3 linked regions of the Drosophila melanogaster genome follow. The protein of the gene in region 3 interacts with the protein of the main gene of each other region in a pairwise test. Each region holds a gene or a part of one and is shown on either strand. Other genes may lie near its edges. The genes, in order: mRpL54, CRAT and Tango10.

Region 1 (3,239 bases), on a different chromosome or scaffold from region 3:
TTCAGCTCCTTTAGAAAGGTTATATAGTTCGAGCGATCCTCGTTATCCAGACTGTGACGCTGGCCAGGATACTCCCAGTCCAGATCTAGGCCATCGAAACCATGGCGCTGCAGAAACCTGACCACATCATCCACGAACTTTTCACGCTTCGAGGGATCACGGGCCACCAATGAGAATCGCTTGGAGCCCTCGTTCCAACCACCCACAGCGACGAGCGTCTTCAACACGGGATTCTTTAGCTTAAGCGCATTAAAACTCTTGATATTTCCGCGTCCACTATTCTCCTCAAGATCCAGATAGGCGTCGATCACGCGAAGCTGGCCCGTCTCCTCGATGCCCAGGAAGGCGTAGATAAGATGGGTGCATAAAAACGGATCAATATCCTCCATACCGAACTTGCCCAGACCAGGTCGATAAACGGACCAAGTGCCCTGGTAGCAGACAACGTTCTCTGCAAGGGGATTTCACTGATATTCCTCGAAATATGCAAATCTGTTATACTTTTACATACTTGAGGAGTTGCCTTGTGCAGAAGATGATGCTGCCATCAGGATTACCCCGAGGAGCAGCTTAACTAAACCAGATACGCTCCACATTGCTTGACCACTAAATGAACACTTCCCGCAACTCCATGACTTTTATAGCGACTCAATTTTATGATAAGACGGTGCAATAAATGTATTTGCAATTCGCTTTTAGCAAAATAACATGGTGTTTGCACACTTGTTGCTCAGGAGAGCATCGCAAACAACATGGGCCGCTGTGACGGTCGGCTGTGTCTCCAAAATCAACGATAACACCTAGGGCTATGGGTTCTAGAACTTCTTTAGCTTGGACAGCTGATTGTTGCGCCGCAAGGCCAGTTTCCTCAGGCGGCGCCAGTACTGCTTGGAGTTGGGGTCCAGTTCGTCCAGCGGAACTATGCCTTCCGTATTCAGCGTCCACAGCCAGTCGGGATATTCCGAATCCGGTTTGATCTGTTCAGCAAAGATACTCGTACAGAAGAGTGTATTGAGGAATTGAAAGGGTAAACTTACTTTGATATCTTCTCCTGTTTTCATGTAGTTACTTCCGCACACATAGTTCACCAATTTGTTGGCATCCGTTTCCACGGGTATGACTTTCTTCTCCATGATGGGACCCAGCTTGCCAAGCTTTTTCTTCTTGCCCGCTGTGGAATGCATTTACTATTAGTTGTTAACTATTTAACCTGGATGTGGAGGCTCACCTGGCGCCGCCGGTTTTGCAGCATAAAAACGTGCCCAGTTTCCTATCGCTGGGGCTATCAATCGCTGCCTCGCCATCTGGAAAACTGCGGTTAGGCTGGTCATGTCTGCTATGTGCTTTATTTAATCCGTTTTCGTCACTTTAATAGAAAAACAAATGATAAATTACAGATATTTACAAAACTGTGCGTTTTGTTGTATAATCTGCTAACTATAAGTGTGGCACTGCAGCCCTGGTTATAAAGTATACGACCAGTCAGCTGATTTTTCAAAACAAATAACTATCGAAATTATTTTTAAATGAAAAGCAATTTTATGAGCAATTTTATAATATGACTTAATTGTCACTAAAACAACATAACAATAGATGATGTTGTTATATTTTCTGCAAATAATTTGCATATAAATGCATTTAGAGGTGGACTTCGGTCTTAATAAGCCTTTTCACATAACGATATCGACCAGCTGTCATCGCTAATTCGACGCCGGCTATACGGTATATTACACAAGTAACAGCAGCTGGATTGTAAATAAAAAAGCGTTAGCAAGATGGTTGGACTCAAGTTTCCGTCGAACCGAACACTGGGCAATATTTGTGTCTACGGTGCGGTGGCCTCCATATCCGCTGTGATGTACATGAAATGGAAGATGGAGGATCGGGTGAAATCCGCAGAGTACTACAAACTGGCCTTGAAGGCACTGCGGAGCCATCGAGGAGCAGTTGGTCTCCTGGGTGAACCCATCAAGGACTCTGGCATCGATCTGTCCAACGCCAACAACAATTGCAATGCGGAGGAGGCGCGTTGTGAGGTGGCTGTGCGGGGCAGCAAGGATAAAGGTAGATCCATCGATTTTGAAAGCAAATCTTTGGCGTTTACCAACCTTATATTTGCAGGAACTTTATACTTTTGGGCGTCCAATCAGCCGGATAGAGGCTGGCTGATCGATCGACTGGAGCTGGAAACAAAACTCAACCCAGAGAAACGATTTTTGCTTAAAAAATCCGAGGAACTAACCTTCGATCTGCCCGAGAGTATAACCAAACAAACTGCCCAGCAAGTTGATTCCAATGTCATTCTATCCGCATCGGATCAACAACCAGAAACACATTCAAAGTGAAGACAATCCGAATGTCCGATTCAATTAGTTTATTCTCTTTAAATTTGACTAATTCAAGCAATCTTAAATGTTTTATAGTTATGTTATTTTAATTACAAATTTATTGTTTTTATAAAATCAAAGTCTTTAGTTATTGTTTGTCAATGGAGAGCTGGCAAAAATGATCAGTGGTTTAGCATAGTTATTATTCATGCTCATACTAGGTGGTTGGTTTGTGAACAATCGGGAAAGCGAAAAACTTGAATGAGTGCTCCTAATGATACCACTTAAAATAGTCGAGAGTCGGCTGGTTGGTCTTCAAAGACACGAAGAATTGACTGGCTCATCGAGAGCGCAGATCTCGAGCTTGATTCGTTTAAAATTAGAATAATACATAGGTCAGAGGACATGATAAAATCCGCGTTTAATGCTCTTCTTAAACGATAAAGGCGACAATTGGTGGCGATCGTGACGTAGACGAGGCGGCAGTGCATCGTTCACCGTCAGGCTAAAGTCATCCAAATCCTTGCAATCAAATCGTCTCCGATCGTACTCGATATATGTGTAGTTATGTTTACGCACTTTCGTCGTTGTATAACACAGTATAAATACAGGCCGTATATATATATATAAGTAGGTATATGTTCGTATGTATATAGCCAATTACAGACATTTGCTTTTTCGGCAGGCACCTGCACCTGGCCGCCCTCGTTTCTCGTATTCCTGCTACTTCGTTTCGGATGCTGTGGTGTTAATGCTGGTGATCGGTTCCTATGCTCGCTTGGCCATGGCAAGTGGAAGACTATTGGGCCGCTTTGTCGACTGTGTCCGCTCCTCTTCCGCTTGCACCTCCTGGTCTTATTGCGTCTTCAGTTCCTTGCCAATGCTGTACGAGACGATTTTGCTCCAGTCGAT
Region 2 (3,756 bases), on a different chromosome or scaffold from region 3:
AAATTTAATTTTTAATTTAAGAAGAAAAGTGACAGAATTATAACATTCAGATACTTTGTCTCCTAATAACAACAGGTACAATTTTTCGGTCTTTTTATAAATTTAGATAAGATTTAGAAAGGATTACAAAATATTAAAAAATAAATAATAATCATTTCAGGTTGAAATATTTACCAAATCCCGTAAGGACGCCCGAGTAAACAACCCTATATATTCCTTAAGTGGTACTCACTGAGATTCCTGCTCGACATACTTCATGATGTTCACCATCGAAGTTCTGGATTTTTCCCGCAACCACACCCCTATGATATCCCTAAGGATATCCTCCAACTCTGGCAATTTTCCTTTAATGCCTCGATACCCAACCGTCTGGCCAGCGTTTTGCGTGAACTTCGTGTTCCGGCACTCGTCGTGCCTCAGGACACAATCCCTCACATTGAATTCAGCTAGGTAGGCCAGTTCCGGGTTCCACTTCAAGGTGCCCATCCGACTGGCAGGACTCAGTCCGTTGAACCCTCCTTTGGCCACGCTATCCCTCAACTCATTAAATCGCCTTAATAGGAATCTTTCCACCTTTGGGCTTATCACTATGAGCTCAGCGTCCAGAGAGCACTTGTCGTGCAGTTCCTGAAGATATTATTGGTAACAAGTTAGGATAGTAACGCATTTTGGAAACAAAAATAACCCAGAACTTTTAGTATGACATTTTGTAACGAAGGTATACCTCTCAAAAGCCAATCAATTCGAAATTAATATTCGTCACTAATCAATTTTATCAACAAATTTTATGACATTGAAAATTTGAAAAAGTCCTAAATTAATTTATATTTGGCTTTCTTTCAACCATTTATACCTTATATAGTGTATGCGAACAAAAAATGTTGTTTTGTTAATTTGAATTAGTTGGTTGTTATCACGTGGCACACATTTTAGTTTAGTAACTTACGATTGATGCGTTGCAAGCCACATGTTTGAGTTCTTTGTGGCACAAGGAGGGATCGCAGTAGTCCGGTAGTTCCGTTGAGGAGCTGTTTCCTGGCTCCTCTTGACCTTGCGAACCTCCAGGAGATGGGTGACCAGCTTCGGTGACCGCTGGACTTGGTGTCGTAGTGGCTGCCGTTTGAATGGTCAAACAACTGGCAATCAGAAAAACGACAAGGGCCAACATTTTTCATCCAGAGACCGTGGCGTATTAACGTTAGTTTTTCAAAACGTAGATCAAACGGTTCGGACTGTGAAATCACAATTTGCAAAGATCAAATGATACAGCAAAACCAATGGTAGAATTTTTAGCAGATTAAACATTATATTGATAGTTTGGTTCGTCTCATAAAAAGCCGGAACAAATTATTGGGCAAAGTTTTTTAAAGCTTAATTTTGGATTTCCAAAAAAAAAAAATTGAAATCTTAAAAGTTCACGTTATTCTACTTAATAATATTAACGTTTTGAGATTATCATTCGTGCCGAAAATTTACTAAAGTAATTTTTCTGCAAAGAACCCCCCTAGTTTTTTATGAATACTAGAGCTGGGAATTCATCGATATTATTCACAAAACGTACGCTAGCTTATCATGAACATATATTGCATACTAATAGTATTGCTTGTTTTCTAAATATTAGCTTTAAAGAAGTTTTGGAATTGCTTGTGATTTTAATCGATTGTTATCCATTATTGATAGCACAGTTAAACCAACAACAGGGAGTGCTTATTTACTTGTTGCTGTTTGACAACAGCTGTTTCTTGTTTTGATTTGAACATACAAACATATATAAACATATATGTTTATATAGAATCTATAGATGTTAATTAACCGGAGCAAAACAAGAGTGAGGTAAACTTAAATTCTTTATTTGAACTGATGGGCAAGGACAGTCGAACCAGTTAAGGATTATATAAAAAGTGGTTATATATCTAGATGGTAATCATCGTGTATTTCGCTGGTATGGTATGGATATTAAGAGACGCACTCTTGGGAGAGCGAAAGTAAATAAACCGGTCGCTGATAGCATTTAAGTTGGGCTCCACTCCACTCCCACCCTTCTGCCTACGTGGACTGCTCTTTCGATGGCCAGTTGATTGGCAACTGCCGTTTTGCTTGCACTTGCCTCCTCCGCTGGCTGCTAATCGTGAGCCATTAGTTTATCGCTCCTTATAGCTAGAAGTAGATTATGTACAAATATCAAAGGTTAATTCAGTGCCACAGGCACACCAACCGGTGGTTGGACTTTAAAGTAACACTCGAATACCATTTCTCCGTTTTGCAGCCCAACGTCTGAGCGAATCCTCGAGAAAACCGAAGCCGAGATGAAGTTCCGTGGCAATGGAAAGCTTTTGTGGAATTTGGTAGTGCTCCATATGGAATGCTTGTGATTCTCCGTTCGGTAATCTGTATCCCATTCGATTTCCAGACCAAGAACTCCTTGGCCCAGCAGTCTCCAAATGGGATCGCCAAGAAAGTGCTGCCCGCTAGCAGCTACAGCACCGTCCAGAAGACCATTCCCTTGGAGCAGCCGAATCTGCTGAAGTACCACGTCCTGCCGCTGGAGGAAACGCTGAACCGCTTCATGACCACTGTGGAACCTCTCCTGACGCCTGAGGAGTTTCAACGGCAAAAGGGAATCACCTCCGAGTTTTTAAAAAAGCAGGGACGCGAACTGCAGCTGCTCCTGGAAGAAACCGGCAGCAAGGAGAAGAATTGGCTGGCCCACCGCTGGCTGAAGGCTGCCTATTTGACCTATCGAGATCCAGTCACCGTGTTCGTGAGTCCTGGCATGACCTTTCCCAAGCAAAACTTCAGGGACTCACGTGCTTTCGTGGACTATACCGCCAGGGTTATCTATGGACTGGGAGAATTCAACGACATGGTGCACGCCAACAAAATTCCGATCGTTAAAATGGGCAAGAACGAGCTGGACAACAGCCAGTTTGGCAAGGTATTCGGCACATGTCGGATTCCCAGAAGGGGCACCGACGAGATCGTGTACAATCCCGACTCCGATTATGTGGTGGTGATCTACAAGAATCACTTCTACCAACTGAAGATATACAGTAAGGAGGGAAAGCTCATTGCTGCACCATGTCTAGCTGCTCAACTCGAGAATATCGTCTTGAAGGAAACGCAAGTGGGAGTTCCTTATGGTATTCTGACCACCGACTCCAGGGACAATTGGGCGGAGGCCTACGAATATCTGGTTGAGACTCCTGGCAACCGGGATGCCCTCAAGACCATTCAGGGTGCTCTGTTCACCGTCTCACTCGATGAGGGTACTATCCTAAAGGAAGGCGAAGAGACCGACGAACTTATCCTATCGCTGATCCATGGCAGTGGCAGCAAGATAAACAGCGGCAACCGTTGGATGGACAAGACTATTCAGCTGGTGGTAAACCCCAATGGAAACGTCGGATTCACTTATGAGCACTCGCCGGCTGAGGGCCAGCCCATTGCGATGATGATGGACTACGTGGTGCAAAAGATGTAAGTTGAATAGGGCGCATGTGGTTAAAAACAACTTTATATTTATAATTTATATTATTTTAGGAAGGAAGACCCTAGCTTCGGGCAATCTGGCTCACAGGACTTTGCTCCTGCACAGAAAATACAGTTCTCTTCGAGCAATAAAAGTCTAGAGAAATCTTTGAACGTCGCCCAGGAAAACGTGGATAAACTTGCCGATGCTCTCCAAATGAAGGTTCTGAAATTCAACGGCTTTGGAAAGGATTTCATAAAGAAACAGCGTCTGGGTCCGGACAGCTT
Region 3 (3,756 bases):
TGGACGGGGAAAACAATGTGAGTTTGACCGATTTATCGATTCCTATTTCAAAATCAATTTAATCGCAATAGATTAGGTGTTGAATATGGTTTGTTAGATGTGCGTCATACAGAATTCGTATCCATTTCATATGGCATCTTTTAATCGTAGGTGCGGCCATTGCAAGCGTATTCAGCCGCTGTGGGAACAGCTGGCCGAGATCATGAATGTGGATAACCCCAAGGTGATCATCGCCAAGGTGGACTGCACCAAGCACCAGGGACTCTGCGCCACGCACCAGGTTACCGGCTATCCCACACTGCGCCTCTTTAAGCTGGGCGAAGAGGAATCGGTCAAGTTTAAGGGCACTCGCGACTTGCCCGCCATTACCGATTTCATCAATAAGGAACTGAGCGCACCCGCTGAGGCGGATCTGGGCGAGGTCAAGCGCGAGCAGGTCGAGAACCTTAATATTGGCAAGGTGGTTGACCTTACCGAAGACACCTTTGCCAAGCACGTGTCCACCGGCAATCACTTTGTCAAATTCTTTGCACCCTGGTGCAGTCATTGTCAGGTAAGCCGAATACAATGCCTTCTCGCCTAAAATGCCTAACTGTGGCATCCTTTTCGTACAGCGTTTGGCACCCACGTGGGAGGACCTGGCCAAGGAGCTGATTAAAGAGCCTACCGTAACTATCTCGAAGATCGACTGCACCCAGTTCCGTTCCATCTGCCAGGACTTTGAGGTCAAGGGGTATCCCACTCTTCTCTGGATCGAGGATGGCAAAAAGATTGAAAAGTACTCGGGTGCTCGCGATCTGTCCACGCTGAAAACGTACGTGGAGAAAATGGTGGGCGTGCCACTGGAGAAGACCGCTGGCGAGGCCGGCGATGAGAAGGTGGTTATCGAGGAGGTTGCCGGCGAGGAGGACGCAGCCAAGAAGCTGACTCCACAACAGCTGACTGGCGAGGACGAGTTCGACCAAGCCATTGCCGAGGGCGTTGCCTTCATTAAGTTCTATGCTCCGTGGTGTGGACACTGCCAGAAGCTGCAACCCACCTGGGAGCAGCTGGCCACGGAAACGCACCAGGCTCAGAGTTCCGTGAAAATTGCCAAGGTTGACTGCACGGCGCCGGAGAACAAGCAAGTGTGCATCGACCAGCAGGTGGAGGGCTATCCAACTCTCTTCCTTTACAAGAATGGTCAGCGCCAGAACGAGTACGAAGGCAGCCGCTCACTGCCGGAGCTGCAGGCCTATCTGAAGAAGTTCCTCGGCCACGACGAGCTCTAAAGCATCTGCCGGTTCACAGGGAATCAGCAGTAGTCGAATGATCAAATAATCGCCCGCCAAATTAATTGTAATCGTAATTTTTCTTTCTCCAGCATAAACCTCTGTGAGGAGTCCGCATTTAATCAATATATCCAACAACACCCAAACGACAACGCGCTAGCTGAAATTGATAAATTCAATCTGAGTTCCTTTTACTTTTTTTTCGTTTTTGTCCCTCTTCCTTAGCTGTTTTTGTAGAATTTTTTTTATACTTATTTGTTTAGTGTTTACGTAAATGGGGCACGGGACTGTGTGCGCGATGATAAGCCATTTAGCGAACTTACATTTCAATTTTAAAGTCATTTTGAGTAGCCTACGTTTTAGGAAAATTTGTCAACACAAAGCTAATAAATATCAATTGGAAAACAATAGGCTGCTGTTTAAAGTATTTTATTATTATCTGTACAATATGGTTTATTTGAATAATTGTTTGGGAAAAACCACTATATAATGTTCTGAGAAGAGCTAAAAAACAGATGTTTGTGGGTTTTTCGAATAAATAGGAGTATGCAAATTTTTAAGCTGACTTATTGGCGTTCTTTAAATATTTGTTTAACACACTTTAAAATCCATTTAGATTTTGATGCCACTTAATAGTGGAGCAGACAGGTTTTTTTGATTTGAAATTTTAGCAGCGCGCGCTGTTGTCGATAACAATTTATCGATTACAGATCTAGTCGAGTCATCGAAAACGGGAAGTTTCAAGTATTTTAATTTGGGCTGCCAGATCTACGTAATGGATAAATGTATTTATATGGCACTTAATTAAATGTTGTGTTATTTTTATCTAAAATTGCGGAACCCGGGAAAATACAACTGAAAATGAAATTGCATTTGTCGGATCCACAAGAATACAATTATTACGGATGCGACGAATCCATCCATATATCGCATATGAAGTGCCATCGGTCTGCCCTGCTGTTTGCAATCCATGCCTGGCACACTGCTGCTGCGATATAAATCGTATCGTGTCTGCATCTGTCTGTCGTTGTTTTTGCATTTGAAGTGAGACTTTTTGCCGTGTCTTTGGCTCGTCCTTACGAAGCCGTCCCGTAGGTTGTCCTTGTGCACGTTGTCAGCGCAGAACAAATCCCTAGCCGGGTGCCAGTCTATACCTAATATCCCCGTTTCCCGATGAACGACAACGGTAACGGCGGAGCAGCGCCAGTCTCCGGTGGAGTGTGCGGTGTTGGTGGTGCGCACGGAGCGGCTGGTGGCGCTGATGGTGCTGGTGGTGCTGGCGGTGGCGGCGGATGCGGGGCTGGCGGTGGAGGTGCTGGTGCAGGTCCGGGCGGGGGTCCCGGGGGCGGAGCAGCTGCTGCGGACCTGGCTGGCGAGGCAGCTGGAGGAGCAGCAGGTGGTGATGCAGCCATTAATAACCAAGCTAATGCCAATGGAACCAGCGAGAGCCCAGCGAAAGGACTTAATTCTAGCGAGGATCTGGACGCCAAGCGGCGCAAGTGTCGCGAAACGGAAGAAGGCCAGGATGAAGCCAGCACGGTGGGTACAACGCCAAAAATGTGATCTTATTTGCCAGATTACCAGCCAAGTGTGTTATCAACATTTATTGATTTTGTCCACTATGAGTGGGGACTAGCTCAGACCATAGTATTAAGTCAAGTTGATCCTGGGAGAATGTGCCCTAATCCTGATCAAATCTTACCCATCTAGATGATCGATGCGAATAGTGTGCTCAATAAGATCGCCAACCTGTACGCCGAACAGCTGATGTCGGACATAGTGCTACTGGTGGACGGCAAGGAGTTTCCCGCCCACCGCGTCATCCTCTGTGCCAGCAGCGACGTCTTTCAGGTGATGCTAATGAATCCGGAGTGGAACGAGTGCAGCAAGCACGTGATCGAATTGCACGAGGAAGCCTGCTGTTCGGCGGTGTTTCCGCAGTTCATCAAGTACCTATACGTTGGCCAAATCGAGGTCACGCTGCAGACGGTGATGCCAATGCTGGCGCTGAGCGACAAGTACAATATACGCGACCTGATCGATCTCTGCGTGGACTACATGAACAAGCACGTGGCCAAGGCGGCCACCAGCGGTTATCTTGTGTCCTGGCTGCAATATACGCTCTCCTTCACGCCCACCCACAACGATCTCACCGAAACACTCAAGCGGTTTCTCAAATGGAACCTCGAGATGGTTGCCGAGTCGCGGGACTTTGTTGAAATGGACCCGGCCATACTGATACTGCTGTTGCAGCAGAACGATCTGGTTGTCACCAGCGAGTACAAATTGTTTGACATCCTGCAGACGTGGCTGCTGCATCGTCGCGAACAGATGGAGGCCACTGGCAGTGGCGGTTTCATGGAACTGATCGAACAGACTGTGTCCCACATACGCTTCGGCATGATGACGCCGCGCCAGCTCTCACACCTGCTAATGGATCCGCTGGTCGAGTATCACAAAGAGTTCCTCGTCGAGCGCATTGCCA

Evidence for each region.
Region 1: the proteins of Tango10 (region 3) and mRpL54 interact in a two-hybrid assay, tested with the Drosophila melanogaster proteins (one large-scale study listed by BioGRID).
Region 2: the proteins of Tango10 (region 3) and CRAT interact in a two-hybrid assay, tested with the Drosophila melanogaster proteins (one large-scale study listed by BioGRID).

What each region holds. Positions count from the first base shown.
Region 1 is NT_033778.4:21,059,005-21,062,243, reverse strand, and holds mRpL54 (mitochondrial ribosomal protein L54), read right to left. Parts: upstream 1,456-3,239; 5' UTR 1,332-1,455; coding exon 1,229-1,331; intron 1,172-1,228; coding exon 1,038-1,171; intron 978-1,037; coding exon 816-977; 3' UTR 657-815; downstream 1-656. Other genes in the region: Cht8 (chitinase 8), read right to left, coding at 1-451, 512-596; CG15653 (uncharacterized protein), read left to right, coding at 1,776-2,064, 2,122-2,345; cpa (capping protein alpha), read right to left, coding at 3,183-3,239.
Region 2 is NT_033777.3:6,371,891-6,375,646, reverse strand, and holds the start of CRAT (carnitine O-Acetyl-Transferase), read left to right. Parts: upstream 1-1,621; 5' UTR 1,622-1,801; coding exon 1,802-1,833; intron 1,834-2,072; exon of another isoform or gene 2,073-2,170; coding exon of another isoform or gene 2,171-2,187; intron 2,188-2,266; coding exon 2,267-2,345; intron 2,346-2,410; coding exon 2,411-3,477; intron 3,478-3,540; coding exon 3,541-3,756. Other genes in the region: CG42564 (uncharacterized protein), read right to left, coding at 233-627, 947-1,168.
Region 3 is NC_004354.4:11,718,218-11,721,973, forward strand, and holds the start of Tango10 (transport and golgi organization 10), read left to right. Parts: upstream 1-2,027; 5' UTR 2,028-2,444; coding exon 2,445-2,810; intron 2,811-2,981; coding exon 2,982-3,756. Other genes in the region: prtp (pretaporter), read left to right, coding at 151-553, 615-1,271.